Linked DNA regions of Caenorhabditis elegans. The protein of the gene in region 2 interacts with the protein of the main gene of each other region in a pairwise test. Each region holds a gene or a part of one and is shown on either strand. Other genes may lie near its edges.

What was found.
Region 1: the proteins of pix-1 (region 2) and sydn-1 interact in a two-hybrid assay, tested with the Caenorhabditis elegans proteins (one large-scale study listed by BioGRID).

Annotation. Positions count from the first base shown.
Region 1 is NC_003279.8:2,376,569-2,383,437, forward strand, and holds sydn-1 (Synaptic defective enhancer 1), read right to left. Parts: upstream 5,284-6,869; coding exon 4,445-5,283; intron 3,138-4,444; coding exon 2,991-3,137; intron 2,940-2,990; coding exon 2,825-2,939; intron 1,209-2,824; coding exon 1,067-1,208; intron 1,015-1,066; coding exon 521-1,014; downstream 1-520. UniProt on the Caenorhabditis elegans protein: Acts as a negative regulator of nuclear pre-mRNA 3'-end processing (mRNA polyadenylation). Plays a role in tissue-specific expression of protein isoforms by regulating differential processing of pre-mRNA 3'-end (alternative polyadenylation).
Region 2 is NC_003284.9:13,725,672-13,733,334, reverse strand, and holds the start of pix-1 (SH3 domain-containing protein), read right to left. Parts: upstream 6,043-7,663; 5' UTR 6,034-6,042; coding exon 5,962-6,033; intron 5,852-5,961; coding exon 5,725-5,851; intron 5,681-5,724; coding exon 5,636-5,680; intron 5,584-5,635; coding exon 5,448-5,583; intron 5,055-5,447; coding exon 4,959-5,054; intron 4,915-4,958; coding exon 4,792-4,914; intron 4,738-4,791; coding exon 4,608-4,737; intron 4,365-4,607; coding exon 4,305-4,364; intron 4,217-4,304; coding exon 4,062-4,216; intron 4,015-4,061; coding exon 3,884-4,014; intron 3,818-3,883; coding exon 3,544-3,817; coding exon of another isoform or gene 3,540-3,543; intron 3,438-3,539; exon of another isoform or gene 3,349-3,437; intron 2,985-3,348; exon of another isoform or gene 2,895-2,984; intron 2,578-2,894; exon of another isoform or gene 2,468-2,577; intron 2,025-2,467; coding exon 1,912-2,024; intron 1,839-1,911; coding exon 1,562-1,838; intron 179-1,561; coding exon 103-178; intron 40-102; coding exon 1-39. Other genes in the region: K11E4.6 (G_PROTEIN_RECEP_F1_2 domain-containing protein), read right to left, coding at 7,332-7,499, 7,546-7,663.

The DNA.
Region 1 (6,869 bases), on a different chromosome or scaffold from region 2:
TTTCAAATAGAAAATCAAGGAAATGAAGAGAAAAAAATCGATATTTCAAATATGTTCAAGATTCACAGATTTTTCACAGAGAGGCAAATGAGAAAGGACACGTGGTGCCGGAGGCTGTCCCATCATGGTTTGATCTACAAAAAATGCGGGAATTTTCCGTCCAAAAATATGTGACGTCAGCACGTTCTTAACCATGCGAAATCAGTTGAGACACAGAGCGGTTTTTACTACGTGGCCGTAAAATAAGAAAACTCGGCCACCTTCATAACATCGATACGGAACATTTTCTCAAAAATCGCCACGGTGGAACTATAGAACCCCCTTTCGAGAGTATTCTCGTCAAGTTTCAAAAACATCCCACGTCAAAAATCCCAGATAAATCATTGGCCGAGTTTTCGATTTTTCTAGGCCACGTAGTAAAAGCCGCTCTGTGGAGAACTCTGCGTCTCTTCTCCCGCATTTTTTGTAGATCAACGTAGATCAAGCCAAAATGAGACATTCTGACACCACGTGAAAGGATTCAAAAGTTCGAGAACGACTGCTGCTGCTGCGGCGGAAACTGATTGACACGATGCCGGTAGCCGCCGCCTCCGGTTACCGCCGATGGTGACAAAACGATAGACGGATTCTGATTCGGATTCGGAGGCGGAGGAGGAGGAACAAAGCTCGGCGGAGACGGACCAGCAGCGACCATCGGAAGCGGTGGCGGTGGTGGCGGAGCCGAAGAGAACGGAAGCGGAGGAGGAGGTGGTGGTGGAATGTGAGATGTAGTAGTAGAAGAAGTTGTCGGAGGAGGAGGTGGAGGAGGAGGAGGTGGAGGCTTGTGATGAAGCCCGAGAGCAGAGAATAGAGTACTTTGTACATTAACAACCACTGATGGTGGTGGTGCCGAACTGACTGGCACGGAGGCCGGAACCGGAGCCGCTGGCTGTGCTCGCCAGCAATCTCCAGAGAATGGAGCTTGTGGTGGTGGCAGTGGAGGTGGTGGAACCATCGTTGGAATCGGCAGCACTGCTGAAATAATGATTCTTCTTATTTGGGGATCCGACTCATCGGAATGTCTTGCCAGTAGGAATTGGAGTATCAATTCGGACGCCAATCGGTGGAGGTGGAACGTTCACCGGTGGAAGGACGATTGATGGAGGAGCCTGGTGCTGATACGGAGCCATTGGGGGCGGTGGAGCATTGAAATGTTGCATAGGTGGGGGCTGAAAGAGAAAGTAGACTTAAATTGATTGATGAATCCCAGGATTTCAAGGATCAGATCAAGGATCACACGTGGCGTCAGGCTGTCTCATTGCTGTTTGATCTACAAAAAATGCGGGAATTTTCTCCCATGAAAATGTGACGTCAGCACGTTTTTAACCATGCGAAATCAGTTGAAAAGTCTGCGTCTCTTCTCCCGCATTTTTTGAAGATCTAGGTAGATCAAACCAAAATGAGACACTTTGACTTCGGAAAACCGAAAAATTGAAGAAAATCGAAAAAAAATTCAAATTTTTATAACGGGACTATTAAATTCTGAGAATGCGTATTGCACAACATATTTGACGCGCAAAATATCTCGTAGCGAAAACTACAGTAACCCATTAAATGACTACTGTAGGTCGATTTACGGGCTCGTTTTTCAAAAAGAATTAATACAATTTATTTGTCGATAGAATATTAAAATTTTCGAAAATCGAGATCCCGTAAATCGACACTACAGTAGTCATTCAAGGGATTACTGTAGTTTTCGCCACGAGATATTTTAATATGTTGCGCGTCAAATATGTTGTGCAGTACGCATTCTCAGAATTGAAAGAAAACAAATAACTTTATAACAAAACAAATAACGTCTAAAAATAAGAAAAATGACCAAAATTTTGGGGAATCTTTCAAAAAAAATCGAGTTTTTTTTTGCTGAGAAATCGAAATTTTTAGTTTTTCGATTTTCCGTTTTCCGGTATTTTTTCTCAAAAAAAAGTGATTTTTCGGAAAAAAAAAGCTTTTCACTAAAAAAATTCCGTTTTTTTAATATTTTTCTGAAAAAATCGAAAATTTTCGTTTTTCGATTTTTTTTTTAGATAAATCAAAAATGTATCACTTTTTTATCTCTTTACTGAAAAATGCCGTTTTTTCTCTGAAAATTCGAATTTTTCGTTTTTTGATTTAAAAAAAAAATTTTTTTTTGAAAAAACCAAAAAAAACCTTTGTTTTTTGATCTATTTTTCTAAAAATTGGTTTTTTGATTTTTCTGGAAAAAAAATGAAAAATTTGTTTTTCGATTTTTTTAAAAATAAATCAAAAATGTTACTTTTTTTGAATAGTTTTAAATGAAAAAACCAAAAATTTGTCGTTTTTTGACAATTTCTGAAAAAATGAAACAAATTTGTTTTTCGATATTTTTTTCTATCAAATCAAAAATGTATCACTTTTTTTATCTTTTTACTGAAAAAATCCGTTTTTTTTCTCTGAAAAATTCTAATTTTCCGTTTTTTGATTTTAGTCATTTTTATATTTTTTTTACTGAAAAAATCGTTTTTTTTTAAATTTTTTAATTATTCGTTTTTAGATTTTATTCTTTTAAAAAATCGAAATTTTTCGTTTTTTAATTTTTTTTAAATCTAAAATTTTAGGGGGTTTTTTAAATTTTTACTGGAAAAATCTAAATTTTTCGTCTTTTTTTTTTTCAGAATTTTTTGTTTGTGTTTTGAAACTTTTTTTTGAATTTTTTTTTTCGGGGAAAAAAATCAAAATGTTTTGTTTTTTTTTAAATTTTTTCTGAAAAAAAAACCAATTTTTTTCCAAAAACCGGGCCTCCAGGCTTCCACAAAACACCTACATAGGCCATCATATTCTGCTGATATAACCCCTGCTGGGGATGCGGGGGCGGTGGTGGCGGTGGTGGAGCATAATGGTAGACTTGTGGAGCAGCAGCTGGAGCTACTGGGTAGTAACTGAAAAAACTTTTTTTTTAATAAAAAATAATTTTTCTGGAAAAAATTTACGAATAAGGAGGTGGCTGAATTGGTGGAGGTATAGGTGGTGGTGGTACTGCCATATGATACACAACGTCTGGTTCTTCCTTTTTTATCAAATCTGGTGATAGTGAGCAATCCGAGACCAGCTCCATTTGATCCGATAAATCGTCCCGACTGAAAATTAATATCTTTTTAAAAAGAATATCTTAAATGAGGGTTTCATCGAACAAATTTTTCGATTTTTCGATTCCCTGGGATCCCGAAAAATTGCAAAAAAGAAATTCAGAAAAATCGACAGTGGTGTTAATTTTTTGAAAAAAAAATCGATAACACATTTATTTTTTTTCTTAAAAAATTGATAAAAAATCAATTTTTTTAATCGATAAAATATTGATTTTGTTACCAATGTTGATTAATGTTCATTAAATTGAAAAAATTGTTAAAAATCGATATTTTTTGTTTAAAAAATCTAGAAAACATTGTTTTTTTTTGTTGAAAAATCGCAAAAAACAATTCAGAAAAATCGATTTTTTTCCTCGAAAAATCTGAAAATTATTTTTTTTTTGTTGAACAAAAAAGAGGATAAAATATTGATTTTTCTGAAAAAAAGATTAAAAATCGGAAAAATATTGATTTTTTTTAAAGAAAAAATGATTAAAAATCGATTTTTATTCTGGAAAAATCTATTTATAAATTATTAGTTTTTTTGTTGAACAAAAAAGAGGATAAAATATTGATTTTTCTGAAAAAAAGATTAAAAATCGGTAAAATATTGATTTTTTTAAAGAAAAAATGATTAAAAATCGATTTTTATTCTGGAAAAATCTATTTATAAATTATTAGTTTTTTGTTGAAAAAAAGGATAAAATATTAATTTTTAATGAAAAAATTTATAAAAATCGATAAAATATTGATTTTTTTATTGCAAAAAATTTATAAAAATCGATAAAATATAGATTTTTTTTATTGCAAAAAATTTATAAAAATCGATAAAATATTGATTTTTCGGTGAAGATAGAAATTATCGATTTTTGTTAATTCCTATCAAAAATCGATAATTTTAATCAAAAATCGATATTTTATACCAAAAATCGATATTTTTAAAATTCAAATTATCGATTTTTGATGAAATTTATCGATTTTTCATGGAAATTATCGATTTTTGATATTTTCTATCAAAAATCGATAATTTTAATCAAAAATCGATAATTTATATCAAAAATCGAGTTTTTCAGAAATAAAAATTATCGATTTTTGATAGAAATTATCGATTTTTCATGGAAATTATCGATTTTTGATATTTTCTATCAAAAATCGATAATTTTAATCAAAAATCGATAATTTATATCAAAAATCGAGTTTTTCAGAAATAAAAATTATCGATTTTTGATAGAAATTATCGATTTTTCATGGAAATTATCGATTTTTGACATTTTTTTCACATAGGATTCTCTAATTCATTGATATTCCAACTCTCATACATTTTAGTTTTCCGATCAATCTGGCTCAACAGCTGATCCTTAAACGTCTCCATCAGCTCATTCTTCAACTTTTTCGAGCAATCCTCAAGCGCCTTGTCCAACCCAGTGCCAAGTGTCTCCTCCACTTTATACGAACTAATTCCAAAATTTCTCGCAAGTTGCTCGATGAGCTCCCGTCGATTCACGGCCGCCTGATCCATCGAAGGCCCAGGAGATCCGGGAGGAGTTTTCGGGCCTCGACGAGGCCGTTTCGGATAACTACCACCATCAGAATCGACGGCGGGGCTCGGTGGGGTACGTGGGCCGACGTGGGCTTGCTCTGAAGGGAAAAAGTTTTTGAGCCATTCCCTGGAGAGCTGCTGAACCTCGTCTTCGCTCATTTTCTCGTAGCCCAGCGTCCCGCAGTTCTCCATTTTTCCCAGCAGCATTTTGTAGCCGAGCAGCTTGTCAACCATCCCCTGCCGATGTATAAAATCACTGATCGTCGAGTCTTCATTCCGGAAATTCCTCAAATTTGTCGCAGTCAATGGCAAATAGTCCCTGATGTGTTGAGCCGGCTGTTGCTCTTTTCTCTTGGCGGCTTCTTCCTTCCGCCGAGCCAGCTTTTCTCGTTGCTCCTCGTCAATATCGTGCCAAATCCGATCGACAACATCCGTCTCCTTACGTGGAGCTCTCACATGAGTCTGGCTCGTCGTCGGAATGGCGCTGCTCCGTGGCCGTTTTCGTAGAATATTGTGCAATTCTTCTGGTGGCGGTGGCGGTAGGACTTGTTTCGTTGGTGACGGGCATGGTATTCCTGAGGTGATTGATCGACGCCGACTAGGTGAAGGTTCTCCCATTTCTGAATGAGATTAAGTTATAATAGGTGGAGGAGAGTCGAAAAAATTTTATTTATTTATTTTAAAAAAATTTTTCTGTTTTTTTTTTTTTGGCAGAAAATAGACTCTAATGACCGAATATGACTGTAAAAAAACTAAAAAATTTTTTTTAATTTTTGAAAAATCAAAAATGTGAAAAAGCACAATTTGCCGGAAATTTTTAATTCCGGCAATTTGTCGACTTGCCAGAAAATTTTCAATTCTGGCGATTTGCCGATTTGCCAGAAAGGGTCAATTCCGGCAATTTGGCGGAAATTTTTTTTAAATTTTTTTATAAATAACAGAAGAAAAAGTTAACAAAATAAACCGAAGAATTTAGCCCGAAAATAAAGAAAATGAATTTCCGGCAAATCGGCAAGTCGACAAACCGGCCATTTGCCGGAATTGAAATTTCCGGCAAATTGCCAGAATTGAGCATCTCCGGCAAATCGGCAAACTGCAGAAATTGAAAATTCCGGCATAATCGGCAAATTGCCAGAATTGAACATTTTCGGCAAATTGCCAAAATTGAACATTTCCGGCAAATCGAGAAGTTGCCGACAAAGAAAAATTACCGGCAAATCGGCAAATTATCGAAAATTGAAATTTCCGGCAAATCGAGAAATTGCCGAAATTAAAAATTTCCGGCAAATAGTCAAATTGCCGGAATTGAACATTTCCGGCAAATCGGCAAATTATCGAAAATTGAAATTTCCGGCAAATCAACAATTTGCCGAAATTGAAAATTTCCGGCAAATAGGCAAACTACCAGAATTTAAATTTCCGGCAAATCGGCAAACTGCCAGAATTGAGCATCTCCGGCAAATCGGCAATTTGCCGAAAATGAAAATTTCCGGCAAATAGTCAAATTGCCGGAATTGAATTATTCCGGCGAATCGGCAAATTACCGAAATTGAAAATTTCCGGCAAACCGGCAATTTCCGCGATTTGCCGAACGGCAATTGCCGCCCAAATTTGAAGAAAAAAAAAGTTTGACTGTACCTTTAAACTAAAATTTTTAAAACCCAAAATAGTAGAAATTCGGATAAAAAACCGAAAAAAAAAACAAAAATTTTCCAAAAAAAAAAGTTAAATAATTTTTATATTCAATGAGGTAAGGGAGTTCAGATGCAAAATTCGAAAATTGTATGTGTAAATTGGTGTGAATAGCTCAAAAGATCATAGAATAGAATACACGTGGTGCCAGAGGCTGTCCCATTACGGTTTGATCTACAAAAAATGCGGGAATTTTTTTTGTTGCAAAATGAGTTGAGAACTCTGCCTCCATTTCCCCGCACTTTTTTTTGTAGATCAACGTAGATCAAGCCGAAATGAGACACTCTGACACCACGTCAGAATTGAATTGAAAGAATTTTTCGAGAAAAATCAAAACATATAAAGTGAGGAGATTTTCAGAGATAAAGGCACGGTTGTTCGGGTAGGAAGTATTTAAAAAATTGCAAAAAATGCGTGGGTGGGTGGGCTAGAATTGAAAAAAAAGCGATCGGGAAAAAAACATTATTTTTGATAATTATTTTGTTCTGGACGGGCGGATGGGCGATGAAGAA
Region 2 (7,663 bases):
CTCCAGACGACGGCGTGCTTTTTGTTCGGATTCAACAACCTGGAAAAATGAAATTATTGGTGCTAGATGTGACAGACCAGAAGAGAAGAATTTTTCACTCACTTTTGCTAGTTTTTGAAATTCGGTCTGAAGGAACGAAAGTTGATCTTTGATGGCGTACACAGCATCCACAATACTTCTGAAAAAAAAAGAAGAGGTGACAAATGAGCAATGAAACGGAAATCTAGATAGACGAAGAGAGAGCAAGTCGGAGGAATAGATATTGTCGTTGGAGCAAGAGCGAATTGACCATTGGGAAATACTGGTCACTTATTCAAGTTCAAACTAAATACATCCGATGTGCTCAAGGAGTACGACGAATGAAAATGACAGATTTATAGACGATGTCTAACTAAGTTCGATGTACATAAAGTTTTAAAGATAAATTTGAAATGTTTTCTAAATGCACGAATCTTTTTATGTTCGTTGAAGAATAGCTTATAAATTTATTTAAATTACACACTTGTGAAGGGAAATTTGAAATAAAGATTGTTATGGTTTTCACTTAAAGGTCGAAAAAGGTCGAAAACATGACAAAACAAGCTATCCTACTGAAAGTTATCTAAAAAACAACTCACGTCCTGTTTTTCATCAGACAACAATTTCCGATGAACGGCTATAATACTATAATACCAAATAATATCAGTAAACAAGGAAACTACAAAAAATTGTCTCTACAAAAATTATCCCCTCTTCATCTTGTTATCTTTGGGGATACTTGTTTTTCCTTGTCAGCTTATTACTTTTCTTTAAAAGCAGTACGAAAAATAATAACTGAAAATGGACGATATGCAAAACAGACAAAAGAAGAAAAAGAAGAAGCAAACATGACTAGATGAAAACAATCATTATTTACTGGTGATCAAAAATTATATTTTTACAGAAAGTAAATGTTTGATCTCTTTTTGGCTTCGAAATGAAGGGCCTTGTTAGGAATATCACTATTGGCACGTTGTGCAAGGCTGTCCGATTACGGTTTGATCTACAAAATATGGGGGATTTTTGTTGCTAAAAATGTGACGTCAGCACGTTCTTAACCATGCGAAATCAGTTGAGAACTCATTCAGTTTTAAATACACAGTGGAAAACGTTTTGGCCGGTTTTGAATTGAGAACTAAAAAATTGTTCAAAGCTGAGCCACGTGCCCAAATTACTCTACTTGGGAATCAACACTGGACATATTTGAAAAAAAAAAACAGAAATTTTAAAAGAACCTTAGAAAAATCAACTTCTTTACTAAAAAAACATCAATTTGGGGGGGGGGGGGGATTCCAATTTTGCAAAGTTTCTAGATATTTCAGGTTTGCTGAAGTTAGTTTTTCTTATCAATCAATTATCGATTTTCCTATTCGTCCGTTATTTTCCCACCCAATTTTTTCATATACGCCACCCTAATATCTATGATTCAGCAAGAGAAGAGGAAACGAAAAGGTTAAATTTTTTTACAAATTGTGTACAATCTTGACCCTAGAAAAACTGAACTGGACTCTTCTAAGGTCTCATCGTTCAAAAAAAAACTTACTTCTCTTGCAAAACAACTTCATCTCCAATCATCTCCTCCATCAGAATCTTCTCATCTTCTGCAACAATCAAATGTGGTTGTTGATAACTTTCATTTGCATGGAAGTCCGACTGTCCGCCACCAGTTTCCACACAGTATCCTTCCAAAATTCGAAGTGTCTCAAACTCAATCTCCTCATCACGAGCCGCGTCTTTTCGAAGTCGAATGTTACGATCACCTCGTTTGCCGGCGTTCCCGCTTAGGAAAAACGATGGGAACTGGGAGAATTGCAGGTTATCTGAAAAAGATTTTTGTTAGTTGATAATCATAATCACGACAGAGAAAACAATAAATAACAAAATATCTCCTACCTGCAGTATTCCTTGAATTGCGACTGCTTGTTGGCAGCTCAAATCCTTCAGGGAGCACCATTCCGAGTTCATGATCGAACTTCATATTTCCCAAGTTTAAACTGTCATCAAAGCTGAAAATTTCAAAATTTAGGTCTCGTTCCATGTTTTATTTGTTTTTTATCATTATTTTTTATATTGTCCACACAAAAAACTTTTCACCCTAATTTCTCCTATCTCAATAGCCATTGTATCTGTTACGAACTATTCTTCGTGATCTATTGAGTCCGAAATTTCACATGCGACAGTTAGAAAGTCTTCGTGTTTTGATCCGTGAAGAACACACAATTTCTTGTGTTGCCTAAATTGGTGAGCGTTAATGTTGCCAAGTCTTGTTATCCAAAATCGAGGGATCGAAAAACATAGAGATTTTTGGTGAGAAGAGATTTGTCCATCTAATACATAAATACCAATTAATCTAAGTAGTAATTTACATCAAATTTTTCGCTTCATACTCTATCCCATCCCATCAAAATCGTATTTGCAATATCTTTTTGCATACATTTGTCTAGAGGACAAATGCAAAAAAAGGTAAGCCCAATGCGGGGCTCGAACCCGCGACAACCAGATTAAGAGTCTGGTGCTCTACCGACTGAGCTAACCGGGCGGCGATAGGAACCGAGGCGCGTGTAATTTAAAAAGTGAAAATGTCAGGCGCACTTTGTGGCTGTCAGGAAGTGTCTCGCACTTTTTAGTGTAATAGTGTGTTGAAATTTGTTAGGTCGTCGGTCGTTGCCAACACTGTTAAAATAAACAAACCGGCAAAATTGATTTCTCGCGACATTGAAAATTAATTGAATAGCGATACTTTCAAAAAGTGTATAGGATTTAATAAGAAAATTCCTTTAATGTTGAAAAAATATTCCACCTAGAAACTTCGCACCCCAATTTAGAAAAGTGAGTAAATTTTATAGTAAAGTTTTTTTAATGATCATTTGAGATAGACAAAAGCGTAAGCCCAATGCGGGGCTCGAACCCGCGACAACCAGATTAAGAGTCTGGTGCTCTACCGACTGAGCTAACCGGGCGGCAAAAGTAGATGTGGTGCGACCTTTCAAATAGAAATATGTCACGTTTTTCAAGGACAGTAATGTGATTGACGCCACTTGTTCGTCTCGGTATGTGGTATGTACACTTTCACTGAGAAAAAACTGCGTAGCGTGTTTGAACAGATTTCAAAAATTATGTTTTTTTAAATCTGTGCATAAACGCCACGCTGTTTTTTTTCAATACAGTGTTTAATATTCAAAAAAAATTTTTTTTAATTTTTTTCCGTTTTGGTACTACTTTTGAAGTTTTGAGAATAATACAAACTGGTATCACGAATTTAATCTCAAAATTTGGCAAATCATGGAATTTCTTTAAATACTTGTAATAGGAAAACCAATCGCAACGAACAAAAAACTAAGCCCAATGCGGGGCTCGAACCCGCGAGAACCAGATTAAGAGTCTGGTGCTCTACCGACTGAGCTAACCGGGCGGCGAAAAGAAATATAACTTAATCGAAAATAATTGAGGGTTAAACGTTGCGAAGACATTTTTGATAATTGTCTGTTCATTCCAATTTTACACGGTTAACATGAAAACACTCACTTCTTCGAGCTTTTTCTTTTGTTCATCATACTATACTGTTGATCCGAGTTTCCTGGGGGATGAAGTGGGGGTTTTGCGACCAGAGGAGTCTCTGCTCCTTGAGTCTGTGATTGATTCATTGTATCGTTAGCATTTTTGGAAGGTCTCCTCAAGATAGTTGTCGTCGGAGTGATGATTGCCACGTTTTCAGCTTTCGCCAAAGCAACAAGGAATCTCTCCACCTCACCCCCGGTTGAAACCATCGTTAGAGTGAATTCTCCAGTGTTGGGGCGATCTAGAAAAACTTGGGTTACTAATTTGTTTTTTTTTTTAATTTTAATTTTTTATCCGAATATTTTACCAAATGAAATTTCAGTAGCTTCCTTTTTCCGAACAATAAAACCGGACACTGTAAACTTCTCCTTAATGTCGTATGTCATATCCTTGGTGACTTCGAAAAACATAATGTATTTAGTGAACAATGCCACGAATCTGAAATCACTTCTAAATTTGAACAGGTAAAATTTTCGGCAACTCACCGATCCACTGCATCCGCTTTCTTGTATTCCACATTTGCAACACCCACATAGAGAATAGATCCTCGTTCTGACGCTGAAACCACCTTGTCCACTTTTGACACAAACAAGAAGTCGAGTTGGGCTTCTTTCTGCTTACGAAGGGTTTCACACAAATCCTAAAAATAGTTTGATTTTAAAACTTGTTGATCCTAATTCTTGTGAGTCAGTTAGATTTGTGTTTCTAATATTTTTAAAACAACGCACCTTTGTTTCCCGAAAAACTGCCGATCCACGTTGTAAATCTCCACGGTCCGGATGATTCGCCTGAAAATTTTTTTGATGATGATCTCATTGACTCAAAATGATATAAAAATTATTATGCATTAACAACGTTTGTTCACATGAGTAGACTTGATAATTTAACATAAAAAAATTATCATAATAAAATTTTCACAAAAATGATGTATTTTAATTAAACAACTGTGCTTTCTCTATGAAAAAAAATTCCAGAGTTTAATGAATCGATTGACCTATGTTTTTTTTTCTCATTTAGATTCAAATACTCACCGGAACAATTCGCTCAAGCTCCTGGAGCAAGTTGTAGTACCTCTCGACGTGCCGGAGTGGCTCACTGAGTCCTAACACCAATTCCTTGTACTCCCGATCCTGCGACTTTACCACCTTTTCCAACTCCTTCCTGAAAACGCGAAACAATACATTCGATACATTCTCTAGCTCTGTCAAAACTTACTGTTTCTTCTTGAGAACTTCGACAGCGTCTGGATGATTGTCAGCATAACTCATTAGTGCCGTTCTGAGCTCAAGAGCAGCATTCATGAACATTCCACCGACTCTCATTTTTGGAAGCTCCTCACTGAAATAAGAAAGTTGAAGAAGGTTGGAGAAATTAAAACTCACTTTTGCTCACGCTCCAGTTGTTCAAAAAGATCACGTTTCAGAGTGTAAATTACTTCGAAATTCCCAACCAACGTACAGTATTCTGGAGCCGTCAAGCTGAAAATTGTCAAAAATGTATTATTGTCGTACCCAAAAATGAAAATCCACCGGAAATGCAATGGAACTTGATGTTTTTCTCAATGTAAATCTCAAAGTAAATTGTAAATAAATATGAATAATTTAGGTAATAATTTAGGTATACTTTTTTAAAGCTTTAGCTAGACTCAATTTTTTTTTGAAAAATGGGACCTGTGACTGTATTTTGAAACAGTGAGCTACTCGCCCCACTTTTTAAGATACTTTTTTTCATAGCGCAGAGGTGCCCATCATTCCAAATTTCAAGTTATCAATTTTTAGAATCTGGATTGATCAACAAAAAAAGCAATAAGAAAAATCCGCAATGAATTAAATTCACATTTTGAAAGTTAAAAAAAACATTTTAAAACTCACATTTTAGATGCCCCAATTGGAATCAATAGAGATTGCAACGTTTTGAGCAAGCTTTGCATGTACTCCTTTTCCGATTCAATATAACTTTTGAGCACAAGGTCTCGATAATCTGGTTGAGCTCCGACGGATACCACTTCTGAATTTTTAAATTTGAATTGTCTCAACGAGTAAATCTTCATGAGATATACCTTTTGCAGTTGCATTTGGGACGGATCGAGATCGCTGGAGTTTGTCTGCAATTTGTGGGTATTAGCTCGAATTTTCCGATTCAAGTTACCTTTTTCTGTGATGAGAGTTACATAGGCACACGGAAACCATCCGGTCACTCCTTCATGTGTTCCTTCCCACCATCCGCCTTCTTGCTGCTGTGTTATTGTGATGATGTCATCCTTGTCGAAACTTAGCTGAAAATTCGTGGAATGATACTTTTGTCAAAAAGTAATTTAAGTATGTACTATTTTTTAAATTAAAAAAAAATTTCACAAGTTTGAATGTGTGGGAAACAAAACCTCACCTCATCGTTATTTGAACCTTCGAATTGAAATTTCGCTCGAGCCGATAACGGAGAACCCGAACCAGGTTCCATTTTCTGAAAAAATACTGTATTCGGTGAACATATTCGATAAATTTTTAACAAAAAAAATTGAGAAAAATTCAAAATCAATAAATTCTCAAATAACACATTTTTAGTAATTAATAACCCTGTGGAGTTTAAAAATACTGTCGATGGAATCGATAGAACGGGTGAACACTGAGTAAGAAATGCAAACGCGCTCCATCGCACTCTCTGGGTCTCTTTTGCGGGGTGTATCTCTCGTCTTTTCAACCCGTATAGTGGCGGCCCCTCAACGGACTTACGGTGATAAATAACATGTGTTGACCCTTTCTCTTCACATCTCACGAACAAAGTGCTCTTTTTGATGCTCTTTTGAACATTGTTTTGTGTAGAGATGAATTTTTATTTTATAAGAAAGAGATTTATGATGTAAATTTGGAAAGTAACTAAATTCAAGGAAGGAAAACTTCGAAATGCCGGTAAAACTCATTATAATAGCATATTTATCAAATTTGATATCAAATACATTTCAATTTTTTAGAAACAAAACTATAATTTTTTGCATTTTTTCTTATTTTTCGACTGCTCGTTTCCCTTTTTAGAAGTTTTAAAGAATATCCCCAAAAAATTTGAAGTAGGTATAAACATTATTTTTGCGGTGGAACCCATCTCAATGAATCCATGCCACTCCAATTGTAACATTCAAAAAAATTTCAATACTAAGCTATCTTTAAAATTCCACAAAAAACCTAATCAATTTAAGATTTTTCAAATGATGTTAGAGTAAGACAAGAGGATGGCAGACATAGTCGTCTGTGATTGAAAAAGTGAAAACAGAAAACGTGTTCCGATCATATCAGATCGAAACCTTATCATGTTATATCTTTTAACCGAACCCACAAAACTGAACAATTTGTTTGAAAATGATTATAGGACAAGATGTAACAACGGAAGTATTCTGGCTTAGCTATTTTCTGAAAATTGCTACAAAACCACGTATTTGTTGCTTTTATTCAACCACATATTCAAATACATACATACCTATTTAAATTATTTTAAAGAACAGCTTTAGTTTTTCTTTTTTTTCAACAAAAAAAAAAACAAATCCATATACGCGCTCTATGATATAAAAATTGAGAAAATGCCCTATTTAATAGCCCTAAAAACAACAATCCAACAAATAATAGAACACTTTTTATATAAAATATGCAGAATAAGAAATTAAAAAAATATATATTCATTAATTAAATTTATACAATTAAAAAAAAACGATGACCCGAATTTACATTATTCACACAATTTCTAGTCACAAAATATTTATGATAAATTCATTTTCTCTCGGAAATAACGCTCCATTGCCGCTGATATAGATTGAAATAAGTTTGCGATACTCCTTTCCCATTTTGGTTCAGCTCTCGGAGTTGTCTTCTCTGGAACTCGTTCCTGGTGGTCACCAAAATTGTCATAGAAAGTAGCAATGACACGTAAGGAAATATCTGAAATCTCAATTTTGAAATGCTTTACCAGATAGTAATAACTTACAAATGTGTTAATCGCGATAAATTTATAATTTGTGAGACTAAGAGAGTCTCGGAATGCTCTTACTACCATGGCAATTAAAATATAGGCAGAAACAAAGACAGTATTCAACAAGACCATT